Arabidopsis thaliana: one gene and its partner. The protein of the gene in region 2 interacts with the protein of the main gene of each other region in a pairwise test. Each region holds a gene or a part of one and is shown on either strand. Other genes may lie near its edges.

Evidence for each region.
Region 1: the proteins of CYCH;1 (region 2) and CDKD1;1 interact in a two-hybrid assay, tested with the Arabidopsis thaliana proteins (2 studies listed by BioGRID, with this or other methods).

What each region holds. Positions count from the first base shown.
Region 1 is NC_003070.9:27,711,458-27,719,168, forward strand, and holds CDKD1;1 (cyclin-dependent kinase D1;1), read left to right. Parts: upstream 1-3,452; 5' UTR 3,453-3,655; coding exon 3,656-3,751; intron 3,752-4,034; coding exon 4,035-4,333; intron 4,334-4,428; coding exon 4,429-4,537; intron 4,538-4,622; coding exon 4,623-4,748; intron 4,749-4,825; coding exon 4,826-5,061; intron 5,062-5,142; coding exon 5,143-5,424; intron 5,425-5,512; coding exon 5,513-5,561; 3' UTR 5,562-5,963; downstream 5,964-7,711. Other genes in the region: AT1G73700 (MATE efflux family protein), read right to left, coding at 6,097-6,156, 6,243-6,329, 6,422-6,540, 6,630-6,868, 6,959-7,015, 7,105-7,191, 7,268-7,711.
Region 2 is NC_003076.8:9,767,778-9,776,347, forward strand, and holds CYCH;1 (cyclin H;1), read left to right. Parts: upstream 1-3,525; 5' UTR 3,526-3,984; coding exon 3,985-4,044; intron 4,045-4,260; coding exon 4,261-4,311; intron 4,312-4,387; coding exon 4,388-4,466; intron 4,467-4,562; coding exon 4,563-4,675; intron 4,676-4,782; coding exon 4,783-4,856; intron 4,857-5,038; coding exon 5,039-5,159; intron 5,160-5,267; coding exon 5,268-5,336; intron 5,337-5,605; coding exon 5,606-5,647; intron 5,648-5,830; coding exon 5,831-5,908; intron 5,909-6,259; coding exon 6,260-6,318; intron 6,319-6,456; coding exon 6,457-6,541; coding exon of another isoform or gene 6,542-6,607; exon of another isoform or gene 6,608-6,626; coding exon 6,627-6,902; coding exon of another isoform or gene 6,903-6,907; 3' UTR 6,908-7,098; downstream 7,099-8,570. Other genes in the region: ALY1 (protein ALWAYS EARLY 1), read left to right, coding at 6-184, 263-539, 627-818, 922-1,059, 1,197-1,274, 1,378-1,647, 1,762-1,929; ACBP5 (acyl-CoA binding protein 5), read left to right, coding at 8,324-8,485. UniProt on the Arabidopsis thaliana protein: Associates with CDK-2 and CDK-3 and activates the CDK kinases.

The DNA.
Region 1 (7,711 bases), on a different chromosome or scaffold from region 2:
TTGAATTTGATAAACTTTATATTCATTGATGTATCTGTAGTATATTTTTCGAAATCTGTATTATATTATCAGACATTTGTAAAATAAAATAATCAGTAACTTCTTCCACTTCTTCTTCTGGTTTAAGATTCAGTTTTTTTTACGGCATTGTTAACAAATTAACAATTCAAAATAATTGAATCATTCTCATAACGAGAAATTGCTCGATACATACGTTGGTAAAAAAAAAAAAACTATTCATTCGAACACAAGTAGCTCTTACAACATTTGTGTGCCAAAGGCCCAATAGAAGGCTTAGTTAAATCAGTCAGTCGTTACATAAATATGGTGAGAGAATTGAACGATTAGGGTTGACATTACACTATTAGGCCTTTATTTGGGCCTATTTAATGGGCTAGATTTGACCTTATGTTAATGGATATTTTGCTTACAGGGTTTGGTCCAGATCTGCAACAGACCTCTTCTGTCGTAAGAGGAAGATTGACAACTTTATTTTTTCCATGAAGGGTCATAAAAACGAGGCCCAATTTTGAAAACTTCGAAAGTACAATCAAAATAATGAAAATGTCTACATCCCAGTTTAGCAACGAAGGCAAGACCAGCCAAATAAGTTTCTACACATACAACACCAAGAGACCTCATGTTTGAAGACATACTATGTGTCTACAAGATTATCTTATTGTGCTGAAACCATAGACTGAAAGTCTGAAACATCGAAGGCTGGTTGATAGTTCTTATGAAAACTTTTGGACCGGATCGACATGGTGATCTAAGTTTTCGGAATTTTGTTTTTGGGATCAGTTTACCTGTGTTTTTCGGATATTTTTGAGTAAGTTTACTCTTTAAACTAGCACATAACTGTATCTCGATTTCTTTTGGGTTGGAGACTCAAAGTTCGAGACTCACAACTGTAGCACATGTAACTTGTTTATGGAAGTATAACAATATTAAATTTAAAACAAACAAAAATCATAATCTTTTTAGTAAACTAAAAATTGTCGAATTATATGTTTAAAACATCATTTTTTTAAGTGAAATTTGGTTTACATGATGACTCCCTTAAAAGAAATTGTTTAGCTAGGGTTCAGTTTCAATTATTCTGCCTAAAACCATTTCTTTATCAATCAAACTATAATAACAAAATTTGCTGTAGTTTACGTTCGATTTCAAATTATATGGCCAACTCCTACAGGTGATCCGAAAAGACATTCAATTTATTGATATGTGTTATTTTTATATCTTAATCTTAACTTTTATTAACTTTTAATGTTCTTCAAGTTTATAATCTTCATTGTGTAAAGACAGGAATCAAGTACTCGAGTTGACAAATGAATCGTATAAGTTAGTGAATATCTTTGGTCCTTTAAATCCGATCCGATCATCATTTTACATATATGACAGAAAACTATTTTCGCAATTAACTAAAGGACTGTGATTGTAGAACAGGATTTAGTTGTTAGATTAGATATGAGAATAATCATACAAAGATAGTCAGTGCATATGGCAGCAAAGATTGCAAAATTTAAAAGTCTCCAAAGAACCAAGGATCTTCTCATCTACCCGAGGCAGTTGCATAAACCCTAGTTTTTTACAAGAAAAACAAATAACACGCTAAACATTGCTTCGGAATCAAAATAATAACCATATAATTCTCAAATTATAGCGAATAATCCTTACCAAAAAGAAATTATAACGGAAAATTAAAGATGAATCCGAATAAATAATTGTTGAGTAGAAATAAAGAAAAATAAAAAATAGAGAAGGTGAAAGAAGATGTAGAGCTCCCTTCAATCCAAAGAAGAGTAAAAGCCATTAAAGGGCAAGTTAAAGCTCCTGAGATATGCAATCCATATAACCAAATCCTTTTTTACTTTACAAGGATTAGGGCTTATGGGATCCATAGCTTAGCAGCTTTTCTTTACCCTGCTCAACTCATGTTTGAACTTTAAGGAGCTCTACTTCCATCGTCAGATCAAGATCTATCGAAAAACAAAGTATCTTGTCAAATATATTATGGATCTGACATAAGCAAACTGTAAAGACCTTTAACTCTTCATAAAACAATGAGAAAGTTTTGATGAGAACGTGGATTAACAAAAACACCAAAAGAGGTAAATCTCTTACATTAGAGCTATGAAGGAGATATAAAGACAGAACAAAAGAGAGGAGGAACCCTAATTATTAACCCTAAACATACTTAGAGAGAAGGAAAGAGAGAGAGAGAAGAGGCCACGTCATGTTTTGGAAGAAATGATAGATAGAGAGTCGTAATTATAGTGGTTTAGATATTCGTGATAGAAGAATAAAAAGAAAAGAAAAAAAGGAACAGGTGGGTGCATCTGAAAAGACATGGGAAGGGTCTGACATTGTTTGTGTTAGATTCCCTACGCGTCACATGCGTCCTTCTCGGCTTTTGTGCTTCACTCTTTTTTTTTTTGGGTAAAGATAATAAAAATAACAATTATTATCGTTCCTGCCAACTACTAGTCCACTACATTTTTAAGATGTAACTTTGAAAATGAATTTGGCCGACCATTCTTTATTTCTTTTAGAAAATAATGTACAAGTGTTTCCGTTTGGTGACCTAATTCTAAATCATTTGTTAGCCCTAACAACTAGAAATTTCAACACGAAATAGTGAAATAGGTTGATGTACGGTCAGGATTATAAGTCTGATGATGTGGGCACGAAAGCAGGTAATTATTTCTCTGTCTGAGCAGAATCTATTGCTAGATTTATTACAACGAACTTGTCTTATTACCCTCACGAGTCTCGTCTCTTTCACAATTCAATGGCTTATTTTTAAGTGTGTTTTTTTATCCATCGTGTAAGTTTTTTTTTGAGTTGTTTAAATAAAAATTTGTATGATGAAAAATGTTCACTAGCAAAATACTTGACCCTGAAGTATCCTAAATTTTTCTGGTTCATACTCAAATGTTAGGCTTACTTTGTTTTCTTTGGTCACCTAAAAAAAAGTGGACTGATCAGCCTAATTATTTGTGCAAACTTTAATGATTGGGCTGCATCTCTTTCTTATGAGCCCATTATATGGGCCCAGAAGTTAACAGTTGCTTGTCTAACCTTCTCGGAATAGTTATTTGGGCCTTATATTTGGGCTTGATTCCACGCTTCATGAAACGGAAGTTAATCCGGTAGTGTTCTCCTGGTCCATGCTGCGGAAAATATGAGCAAGGTTAATTTGGCAACTTGTTGATGCAGCTTTTTATTTTCTTGGATTTTTTTTTTAATTTCTAAGTATGTTTAGGCAATGTTCCAATATTCATACAGCTAAAAAAATGTTAATATTCACAATCATCTTTTGTTTAACCACTAACTTATAACATTTTAAACCGAAGAATAATTGACGAGTCAATGTTGAGTAAACCGGAACAATTTTGCTTTTCATTTATAAACCTTTAAACGACGTCGTTACGATAGACGCTTCCAGCTTCGTTTTATTTCTAGCTTTAGAGCGTCTCTTTCCTTTTTCGTTTACTTTTCAATATTTTCCCCTAAAAATGTCGATTCCTTCTGTAATTGCTCTAACGGCTACTTTTTCTCCAGAGCATCATAAGATACCTCAACGTTAACGATAACAAATTAATTAAGATCAGTTTCGATCAATTGCTTGTGATCCGATTAGAGAGTTCCGGAGATGGAACAGCCGAAGAAAGTTGCTGATAGGTATCTAAAGCGAGAGGTTCTTGGTCAAGGTACTTATGGAGTCGTCTTCAAAGCTACTGATACAAAGGTGAAGATGATTCCTCTCTCAATTCTTCATATTTTTTGTCGATCCCATCGAAACTAGGGTTCCAATTCTGTCGTGTGTCTTTTGACGTGTCTCTTCCTGGGAACAATTTGGTTAAATCTGATAGCTCTTAGGTTTTAAATCAGCTAAAGTTTCGATCTTTACACTAATATGTGTTCTTAGAAGTCAAAGTTTGCATTTTTATGTTCTTAATGGATTTAAAGTGTGTAGTTTTTGTTTAAGTTTGTATAAGGAAGCTGATTTGTTTTGTTGTGGCAATTTGTAGAATGGAGAAACTGTAGCGATCAAGAAAATAAGACTTGGTAAAGAGAAAGAAGGTGTGAATGTAACAGCTCTTAGAGAAATCAAATTACTTAAAGAGCTTAAGCATCCACATATAATTGAGTTGATTGATGCGTTTCCTCACAAGGAGAATTTGCACATCGTGTTTGAGTTCATGGAGACTGATCTCGAAGCAGTTATCCGAGATCGTAATCTCTATCTTTCGCCTGGTGATGTCAAATCTTACCTCCAAATGATATTGAAAGGTCTTGAATATTGCCATGGCAAATGGGTTCTGCACAGGTACTATCATTGGAACTTAGAAGCAGAACTTGTTCTATCTCTAATAAGGTCTGTTTTGATTTAAACTTATGGATGATCATTCGTATTTGTTTCAGAGATATGAAGCCAAACAACTTGTTGATAGGACCCAATGGACAGCTGAAACTTGCAGATTTTGGGTTAGCACGTATATTTGGTAGCCCAGGTCGTAAGTTTACCCACCAGGTATGCTTTGTTTGTTGTGACAATGCTATTTATGTAGTAGTTCTGCTATCTTTCGTATCTTGATGTCCTTTAGCAATTTTCATAGGTGTTTGCTAGATGGTATAGAGCACCTGAACTTTTGTTTGGTGCAAAACAATATGATGGTGCAGTTGATGTTTGGGCTGCTGGCTGCATTTTTGCTGAACTTCTATTACGCAGACCATTTCTTCAGGTGAACCTCCATTTTGATTGTGTAGTAATCCAGTGCATCTGTCTACTTGTTTATCTAACTTACTTATTCCATTGCAGGGAAACAGTGATATTGATCAATTAAGCAAAATCTTTGCTGCCTTTGGGACTCCAAAAGCAGATCAGTGGCCTGACATGATCTGCCTTCCTGATTATGTAGAGTATCAATTTGTCCCTGCTCCTTCTTTACGTTCTTTACTCCCAACGGTTAGTGAGGATGCTTTAGATTTGTTGTCAAAGATGTTCACCTATGACCCCAAGTCTAGAATATCGATTCAGCAGGCTCTAAAACACAGGTACCTAAAAATCTCCCCTATGGATAATGCATAAGAACAGGTTATTTAGTTTTGTTCTCAAACCTTGATTTCTTTTTAAAGGTACTTCACATCTGCACCTTCACCTACTGACCCTTTAAAGCTCCCAAGACCAGTTTCCAAGCAAGATGCTAAGTCATCTGATAGTAAACTTGAAGCCATTAAAGTGCTGTCACCAGCACATAAGTTTAGAAGAGTGATGCCTGACCGAGGAAAGTCTGGTAATGGTTTCAAGGACCAGAGTGTTGATGTCATGAGACAAGCTAGCCATGATGGACAAGCACCAATGTCTTTAGATTTCACCATCTTAGCTGAGCGGCCACCAAACCGACCAACCATCACCAGGTAAAAACAATTGGTTTTATTACAGTCAGTTCTTGGTCAGCTTAAAAAATGAAAACTTTTGATGAATTCTTGATTTTTGGATTTGCAGTGCAGATAGATCTCATCTGAAGAGGAAACTTGATCTCGAGTTCCTATAGGATATCGCGTAACAGGCTTCTTCTTGACGTCGTTCTTCAGGTTCCTATAGCCTATAGGATCTCTCTTACTGGTTGGTTCCGTTCAGTAATTCCTGAAATTTTTCATATCACAACTAGTGATGACGAATAGTTTGAATCATTCTTTCTGTCTAAAATAAAGAATATAAAGCACAGATGATTAACTAATCATCATGTACACCCTTCATAGAAAAATCTCTGTTTTTGGCCTATGTTTAGAAGAGAGCTCTGATCCCAAACTCATTCTTCGTTCATTTCCAATTTAAAGTCCAGAATTTTTAGTATCGAACACGTTGGTGTATTACATATATGAATTTTTGATCTCATTACACTAATGCTCGATGAGAATGGAAACACATCCAAGGAATTTCAATAACTATGTAACAATGGTAAAGTTTTCTAAAGACCAATGTACGGCCACATCAATTAGAAATTCCCAATAAGTTCATATGGGCATACAAGAATAAAGCACTCATTAAGCTCATTTGCAACTGCTTTTTCCTCAGACGTTTATTGATCATTGGACGTCACCATCTTTGTCATCTGAAGATCCGACTCTGTTCGTAGCTTTCTTTGCCTAATCATGTAAAACAAGAAACAGAATCACATTATGGCAGAGTTATTATACATATAAAACTGAGCCGATCAGTTAAAAGGTTTTACCTCTTTATCCCAGTTTGTGAATATAGTGACTAAGGAAAGACACAACACTTGAACAGACAATGCTGTTACGATTCCCAGCCAAAGCCCCTACAATATGAAAATACCACAAAATAAAAGTTTCTATAAAACTAGTCTTGTGTTTGAACTTGAGAATGAGAAGGAGAGTTTAAGATTATTACCCGACCACCAATGTGGAAATGGAAACCAAGTAACAATCCTAATGGAACTCCAACAAGATAATATGATCCAAGATTCACACATGCTCCAATTTTCTGCCATCCACATCCTCTAGCAACCCCTGCAACCATAAATCAAAACTATTTGACCAGGATTCGAACCGGACATATATAAACAAGGAACCAAAGCCAATCTTCTATCATTCAAAACCTGAGAGTACGCATTGTAAGCCATCAAGGAAGTTTCCACATGCAACAATCGGTATCATTGATGCGGCATATGCGATGATTTTCGGGTCGCTGCTAAAAGCATGACCTAAGATCTTCCGAATCGACAACAAAACTGTTACAACCACAATTCCCTCGGCTACTGCTATGCCTACAATGACATATACAGCCAGTTTTGCCACTTGTGGATTCCCTGCTCCTAACTCGTTTGAGACCCTTATGCTGCAAGTTAACAGAAACACACAAAGTGAGATAGGTTGGTTTGATGAGATTTTTCTTTTTATGAGCTCTTGGATACATTTTGTTACTGACCTTGCAGCGCCACCAAGACCAACCGAAATCTGCCAGATTGTTAGGGAAGTATTTAGACTGAAAAGTTGCAGAAATGAGGTTGATCAAATATAAAGAAGAAGTACACAAACTCTGAGTACCATAAGACAAAGATAACCGAAATCTACCAGATTGAAAGCACCGAAGTTTCTAAAACCGGGTTAGGAAGAAGGCCTGAGGCAAGAACCAGAAGCTCGAAGGACCAAAGCTCCAAACTGTTTCAAACAGAATTTGATTAAAATGCAGATACTGGAACCTGAACAATGCAGCATTTTATGTTTGATGACTTACCAGACCATGACCGCTGAAGGAAAAGCAATTTTAGAGAAATCATAAAGTTCTTGAAAAGCCTCTTTCGAAAACCCGGTCCAACTATGCGAGCAAGAAGGCGAAAACTTGACATAACACGAGAGGAGAATGACGTTGAACCAGTAAGAGACCGAAATAGCAAGAGCAGCTCCTCTGTATCCTAAACCAGTCTTCAACACAAACAACCAACAGAGAAGCAAATGAAGACATGTAGTGATACCAGAGCAGACAAAGACAGGGAACACATTGTTCTGCGCTTGCAAGAACCTGTTGATACATTGAAGCAGTCCGTAGGCGAAGAGGCTCGGGATCATGTATTTAGCGTAGGAGCCAGCAACACTTGCAATGGACTTGTCTTGATGGACCAATACGAGAATCTGTTCTGTGTTAGCCCAAATGATTGAGAGAGGAACAGAGAGTATAAGA
Region 2 (8,570 bases):
TACAGGAGAAGTTGTCAAATTGTCTGTCATATCCATTGGTACGTCGATGGTGCATATATGAATGGTTCTACAGTGCTATTGACTATCCCTGGTTTGCAAAGATGGAGTTCACTGATTATCTAAATCATGTGGGGCTTGGTCACGCTCCAAGACTTACTCGTGTTGAATGGAGTGTCATTAAAAGGTTTGTTAAAGTTTCTGTGTATGTATGTCGATGGAATTATAAAGATACAAAAGGTTACTCATTCTGTAATTTTTTCAGTTCTCTCGGTAGACCTCGGAGATTGTCTCAGAGATTCCTACAGGATGAGCGGGATAAACTCCAAGAATATCGTGAGTCTGTGAGAAAGCATTATACAGAGCTGCGTGGATGTGCTACGGGAGTGCTTCATACAGATTTGGCCCGTCCTTTATCAGTCGGGAATAGAGTGATTGCCATCCATCCTAAAACACGGGAGATTCGTGATGGCAAGATTCTTACTGTGGATCATAACAAGTGCAACGTTCTCTTTGATGAATTGGGTGTCGAGTTAGTTATGGTAAATCACAAACTATATCAATTCCGTTGATAGTTTGTCCATTTTTTGTATATCTCAGATGATCTAATAAATCCTTTTTTCTGACAGGACATTGACTGCATGCCTTTAAATCCATTGGAATACATGCCAGAGGGTCTAAGGAGGCAAATTGATAAGTGCTTGGCTATATGCAAAGAAGCAAGGCTTAACAGACACCCAAGCTCTGATGCATCTGTTCTGTTCTCTCCTTCTGTGCTTGAAAATGTCAACTTTTCCATGAATCCTCCTCCTGCGAAACAGGTAAACAAAGATTGACGTTTGACTCGTGTGTCAAAGCTTTGATCTTCGTCTTTCTTTCCATACATTTTTTAATCTCTGTGGATAATTCCATAATTCTCTGCAGGATGATATCAGAGAGCCAGTTTTGTATGGTAAAGTAATAGCAACCAACACTACTGATCAATCTATCGTAATCAATAGCAAAGTAACAGGAACAGAAATTCAACGGACTCTGGCACTGCAGCATACTTCCGATGCGCAGGTAACTAAAAAGTCTATGCCTGTGGAAACTTTGTCTTTAGATTGCTCATGTTCGAATAAGTATAGACTTATTTTGTGTACTCTTTTTGCTAATAGTAACAGCTACAGAAATTCTTTTCTCATGATTCTGCTTTCCAGGAAATGGAGCCAGAAATGATTGAAATTGTCATTGAATCAAAGTCAATAGCGCAAGCAATGGTGGATGCAGCTATAAAGGTATTTATAATATATCTAGAGACTTCAGAGTCTTCTAAATACAGAGAAGCCAAATTCATACAACTCTAACATCTTTTGTTTAAATCGTTGTCAACCGTTTTAGGCTGCATCGTCGGGGAAGAACAATGAAGACTCAGAGAATATGGTTCACCAAGCTTTAAGCTCCATTGGCGAACATCAGCCATTAGACAACTCTATAGTGCCTGGTATCAAGCATCAAGAGTATACCAATGGCAGCTTGGATCATCATTCCTTAAACACAGCAGAGCCGATGAGTAACGGTTTCATCTCACAGGAAGGATCAGGAAAAAACAAAACACCAATGCCTTCAGAGCTTATCACCTCTTGTGTTGCATCTTGGCTCATGATGCAGGTAAAGGAAATAATTTTGTCTTGGACTAACGAAAGTGTAATCTAAATCAAGAATACCAAAGTTTTCACTTGATGCGGTTTTGATTAGAACTCTTTGTGTGTTATTTACCTGCAGATGATCTCAAAGAAGCAGTACCCACCAGCAGATGTGGCTCAGCTAATGGATACAGTAGTGAATGACTTGCAGCCACGGTGTCCACAGAATATGCCGATATACAGAGAAATTCAAACTTGTATGGGATTGATCAAGACTCAAATAATGGCTCTTGTAAGAACGTCATGAAACATTTGTGTCCTTTGTAATTAACCTGACATCGAAGATAACACTTGGAGATCAGATTTAATTGTTTGGATTGTAGAGGTTAGTTTAGTTTATAGTTAGTTAATAATTTGAACAGCTCCAAAGGCTGTTGATAATTAGTTACCATTGATTCTGTAACTTTTTTTTGTCATCATTCATTGTAACTTTGGTTACCTTTTACTTTGGAGCTGTTTTTTTTTTCTTTCTTTCTCAGTGATTATTTTCTTGGGTCATTTTGGATCCTAATGGCTGAAATAATTTATTCCCACCTTAATACAAAATCTCAAATATATACTATTCCTTAACTAAAATTCTAGAACAATGCCAAATGGATATGTTTGAAATACCTTTAATAACAACTAGGATTTAACCTGTGGTGTACCACGGACAAATGTTTTATTCATATATAATAATATTAAATTTTACGGTTTTTAATTTAGTATTTAAGTTTTATAATTTTATATTAATGTTATAACTAAAACAAATGGTGATGATAAAATAATAAAATAAATATTTAACATGTGCTATATCAATCCAAACTCGTCCCACTATATTTCATATCAATCCAAACCCGTCCCGCTATATTTCTCATCTCATGATATTTTTTTATAAGTTTAAATAATAATAATGTTTTATAAAGTTAAAATATATCTATAATATTTAAAAATAATAATTATTTTTTACTTAAGTTGGAAAGATTTTTGGAAACGTTTGTTGAGCGCAATATAAAGTATTTAAATTTTCAAATCTGAATAATTAATACCAATTATATATCTTGAAAGATCTTTGGCAACTATTGTTGAATATAATATCTTGTATTTAATTATCGACAGGAAATATTTAATGTCAATGGCATGACATTGTAAATACAAGTACAAAATTTATTTGCTAAAATGGCTGCAAAAATGTATATGTAGATTTACTTCTAATTTTAATGTTTCAAAGGACAAAACTAGGCATGACCATAAAATCCGAAGCCCGAAAAACCTAGTTCGCTTTGGTTCGAGTGGATCTAAAGTGTTTATTTTGGGGTTTTGGTTTGGTTCGTGTAGGATCTGAAACCTGAACAGATACCTGAAATATCGAAACTCAAACGGATACATGTAACTCGAAATAATACGTATACATAATTTGTCGGTAAATTCAGGTTCAATATCAGGTTTCAATTAAATTTGAGAACCAGCCCGAACCCGAATAGACCTCAACCGATATTTTCAGTTCCTAAATGTATTTTCAATCTCTTTACCAAAGTAACCCAAAAACCCAATCTAAACAGACCCGAAAATCCGAATGTCCAGACCTAACTAAAATCGTGAGTCAAACTCAAAAAATGATTGATTAACACTATATTATACTTTTACTTAGATTCTATAAATTGGACACATGTATGGGTGTTATTAAGGGTTGGAAACATAAATTTAAGCCATGACCTTATTTTTGGTTGGAAAATTCTTGTTCTTTTTTTTGTTAGTAAAGGGCTGTTAATAAGGGTTTTAATGGGTTAGCGAACGACACCGTTTATAATAAATATGTTTGCTAAACGACATCGTTTGACCTTAGGGTTTATTGTTTAACATGAAAGAACGTCGTTTCACCAACGTTTCTTCTTCCTCGCAAGTCTCAAAGCCAGGAACGATCTCGCCGTATGAGCAACTTCCGACATTAACACTGTATTGCTCTGCCGTACTCTCCTCTTTTTCCCTTCATACTCGTCTTCACATCTGAATTCCGACAAGATATTGCGTCTGCTCTCCTCTCTTCCCTCATTCTCGTCTTCTCATTACCAAAAACATCTTCTTCTCGTAGCTAACTCAATCCAATTCCAATCTCCATTCAAATCGAGCACCAGATAATTTTTTCTCCTAAATTCTAATATAAGCCCTAAAATTCAAAATTGAAATATCTATAGAATCTCCTTCCGATTCAGACGGATAATCGCCATCAACAGCGTGTGAATTCGATCAAAAATCTGAACTTTCCACAAAGAAATTCGAAAGCTCAGATTTTTCGATTTCGAAAATTTTGAAAACTCAGTTAATGGCGGATTTTCAGACATCAACACAACGGGCCAAGTGGATTTTCACTCCCCAGAAACTGGTAATCCCCTTCTCCTTCTGATCACTACAATGCGGCTTTATAATTATATTTTGTTCATCTTTGGATTTTCTTTGCTTTGATTGCTTCATAGAGAGTCGGATTAATCGAGCATTTGGAACTCTTTGTTACTTAGTTATGTGTGTTGTTGTTGTTATTATCTTACTTGTTGTGTAGAGATATTGGTATTGCAACTAAGCTGTAATGTTGTAATTGTAGGCAGAGAGATATAAAGCTGCTAACCAGAGGGCAGTGCAAATGCTGGAGAAGGTTTGTTAGAATAATTGTTGATATGGAGCTTTAGTCCTGTATTCATGTTTAGATTTTAACTTATTGTTATTCATAGTGTGGAACAACTCAAGTTGAAGTAGATGCTAGTGGATCACTAACATATCCTAAAGATAAAGTTGGTTCAGGAGATCAAGGTAAAAATTTTGGTTCCTTCAATATCTACTTCATACGTATCATAGTTTTGTTTGTCGAAGTTTAAATAATGTTACTTTTTGCTTTGTTACTCTCAGCTGATAAGAAGCTTAAGCCTTTGAGTGCTGATGAAGAAAGGTTCATGAGAGCATTTTATGAGGCAAAGGTCCAAGAAGTGTGCAGTGCCTTTGCATTTCCTCACAAGATTCAGGTGCATTTCTACTCGTCGAGATAGAAGTTTATGATGAAGTTAAAAATAAAATACCTGATTTTTGTTTGCTCTCTGAATTTATGTTTCTTCCTTCTAATATTTTGCAGGCAACAGCCCTCCAATACTTTAAGAGATTTTATCTGCAATGGTCTGTTATGCAACATCATCCAAAAGAGATAATGTATAGTTCTTTTAAATCCTCAAAATGGTCAAAAGCTTTGCTTTTTTCAAGAGAATAGTTTTGAAATTGTTTACCAAATGGAGCTAAGCATTTTGTATTTCTGAGCTCTGAGAGGCTTTTTAAGTCAGTCATAAATGGTCCATTGTTGTAATTTGGACTAATTGTTACCTTTCATTGAACAGGTTAACCTGTGTGTATGCAGCTTGTAAAATAGAGGAGAATCATGTATCTGCTGAGGAAATTGGGAAAGGGATTAACCAAGATCACCGAATAATTCTCAAGTACGAGATGGCTGTTCTTCAGGTATGATATGAGTCAATTAATTTGTACCAACTTCCCTATGTTTATTTTTCCCTGGTGTTCTTTTCTCTCTCTATTCTTTTGTTCATATTATATTAACTCTATGTGCAGAGTTTGGAATTTGATCTGATTGTTTATGCACCGTATCGTGCAATCGAAGGTTTTGTCAACAACATGGAGGTAAATCAGTCCTGTCTAAATTTCTTAGTAGGTTTTCTTATTTCAACTGGCTTTTCTCTGTTTACATCTTATAGTGATGAGACTCTTTTTCAGTTTATTGGCAATTGTTTTGTTGCAAACAAAATTCTGAATGTTAACTTAACGCCAAGAACTTGGTGAACCATAATAGGATATACCAAGATTTTCAATACTTTTTTCGGTGTGTTATTTTTCATCCTTGTTGAACTTCACGCTATCTTCAAAAGTAACCTCATCTTTTCATCCTATAGGAATTTCTTCAAGCTAGAGATGATGAAATCCAAAAACTAGAGGTAGATCTATCTTCAGATATTTCCTTTATCTTCACTAGATTTTAAGCATGTGGTAACTGAATGTGGGATCAAAATGTAAATTTTAGTGTAAGTTTGTGATCATAGCTGTAAGTCTATTTACTTAACAGGCTTTATTGAAATATTATTTTCTCATACTGGCATAACTTTTCAAGTATTCTGCAGAGTTTGCTCAAAGGGGCGACAGCAGAAGCCGATAAAGTTATGCTCACAGATGCTCCACTCCTCTTTCCTCCTGGCCAGGTGGGCATGCTAGTTTATTTTGTCTCCCTAGCCTCTTATTATCAGATTAAAGATACTGAATAATATCCATCAAAGAATCTGGTTAAACTCATTGTTTGGGATATTTCAGTAAAGCTTTAAATATGCTACTCAAGACATAAATTTAGGATGAAAGTTGGTGCTTTGTTTTCTCTTTGACTGATATTTAAGTGAAATTAATGAATGTTTATGATATAGTAGTATAGCTTATCGATATATACTCACCTTGTTCCTTCTTTCAGGATTTTTCGTTTTTCTTTAGCGTATATGTAACAAAAGAAGTATCACAAATTGTTGTACTGTCTCTCAACTCTTGAACGTGTGCCCTTGTAGTTGGCATTGGCGTCGTTACGTATTGCAAATGGGGTTCTTGGAGTGATTGACTTTGATAGGTTATTTCTCTTATTCTATATCCATCCCGATTATTTACCCTTTTAATCTTTCCATGATATTAATCTCGTGGTCTTGAATTTCTGTATATGCAAAGCTTTTTACTGGTTGTATTTTCAACTAAACTGCATTTGGTGCAGGTACCTAGAGAACATTGTTTCTCAACCGAACTCTGAGCACACGACTTCAGAGCTTACAAAGTTACTTGATAACATCGAATATTTGGTATTTACTAACTTCCATAATTATCTTAACAATGAAACTTGCATATCTAAAAGGAAGTTTTACTAGATGCTCTCTCTTATCTCAGGTAAAGAACTACAAGTGCCCAAGTGAAAAGGACATGAAGCATATCAACCGGAAGCTAAAATCTTGTCTAGGACATAGTTCTTCACATGACGAGTACACTAACAACCTCTCTTCTACTAATTCTTTTAACCACTATATATATTTCATAAGCTTTGCTTCTGCAATTGACTCCCTTCTCTATTTATCTTCATCAGGAGTAAGAAACGGGAGAAGAGATCAAAACACAAGTCCCATAGGAGCTCCAATGATACACCAAACGGGGCACCGCCACCCATAGGTTGAGTTTCTCGTACTGCCATTAGCAATTCTTCCTTTGCACTTTGGTTTAGTTTTAATCTTATTGAATGAGAAATTCGTCTTTTATAGTTTCTTCCCCGTTGTTGTTCTTACTAGTAAATTTGAGCAGATTATGTATAACAATGATATTGGCCATAAGTTTTGTTTATTCTGAAGATGTTAATGAATTTATAACAAAACTTCCATTTATTTTAAGTTTTGGTGTACATAACAATCGTCAAAAATGGTTTGTTTGCGATAATGATCAACTTTTTACATGATCAAAAGTTTTTCCAGACATTTTGATACTTTCTAGTTACTACCACATCTGTTCTTACACAGAAACAAATGGATATGACTAGTGTAGCGGTAACTATCAAATCCTAATAATAACAATGAAAATTTGTATTAAATAACCAAAAACCATCGAAAATAAAATTTGGATTGTGAATGAAACTTGTAAAGATGCTTGATTGGTTGTGCTAAATGTCTTTTACAGCCATAATATATTTGTTAAAGACTAAATTGTTGCCAATTATGTTATAGTTTTTTTCTTTAACTTAGAGCCCCAAAAAAAATCTTTTTGTTTTGACTGTAAATCTTTAATTTTCTACATCCTATTTTGTGTTGTAGATTTTTTTTTTTTTGTAGATTTTTTTTTTTTTTTCTCTCCTCTAACTTTTTGTCACGATTATTTTCAACTAATAATCTAAAATGTAGTTATATGAATAACAGATAAAGTATTTTATACATTTAGACAAATAATTTATAAATTTATATAGATTCCATTTACCTAGATGTGCAGAATTCTTTTTGTGTTTTTATTATAAAATTGTTATTAAATAATTTATATATATTCCATCTACCTAGATGTGCATAATTCAATTTGTGTTTTTATTTTATAATTGCTATTAAATAATTTTAGTAATTATGATATACAATTTTCTCATTTTGAAAAAAGGTAATTTATAAATATAAAATTCAAATATTTCTTAATCATAATTTTTAGTTACAACTAAAATATTTATTGCCAAAATCCTATATTTTTCAAATCTACAAAACCAAGAGGTTACCGTCAAAATTCTACAGTTAGAGCTTATACACTTATTGCCAATATTATACATAAAATATTTTACCTTATGCAAATGCCTATGCTTTTATGGGTCATAGACGGACCTGGCTACTGTGTAACTAATCACCCACATAATTTATCAGTCAAACATAACAAATTCTTTTTGTGCCAAAAAGTCAAAAACGTTAGAAACTGGATTTTGGAAGTTGATGCATGCAAATAGCAACTTGTCGTGCCGCGCTATATAAACGCTGCATCAAGTTTTCGTAATTAACTAAAACCAAATTAGTATTAATCCGAAAACTTGAAACTGTGGCTTCCTCCTCAAATCTCCGATCAACGGAAACAAAATGGCTCACATGGTGAGAGCGAGCTCTGGCCTTTCTTACCCGGAGAGATTCTACGCCGCCGCATCGTACGTCGGCCTCGACGGATCTCAATCGTCGGTCAAACAACTCAGCTCCAAATTCTCCAACGATACCTCTTTGCTTCTCTACACGTTGCACCAGCAGGTTCGTCAATTCGATTTCAATTGAATTCCATAGGGATCTGTTGATTTCTCTTCTTTCGCAATTTGCTACAGTAGATGTTGGTACG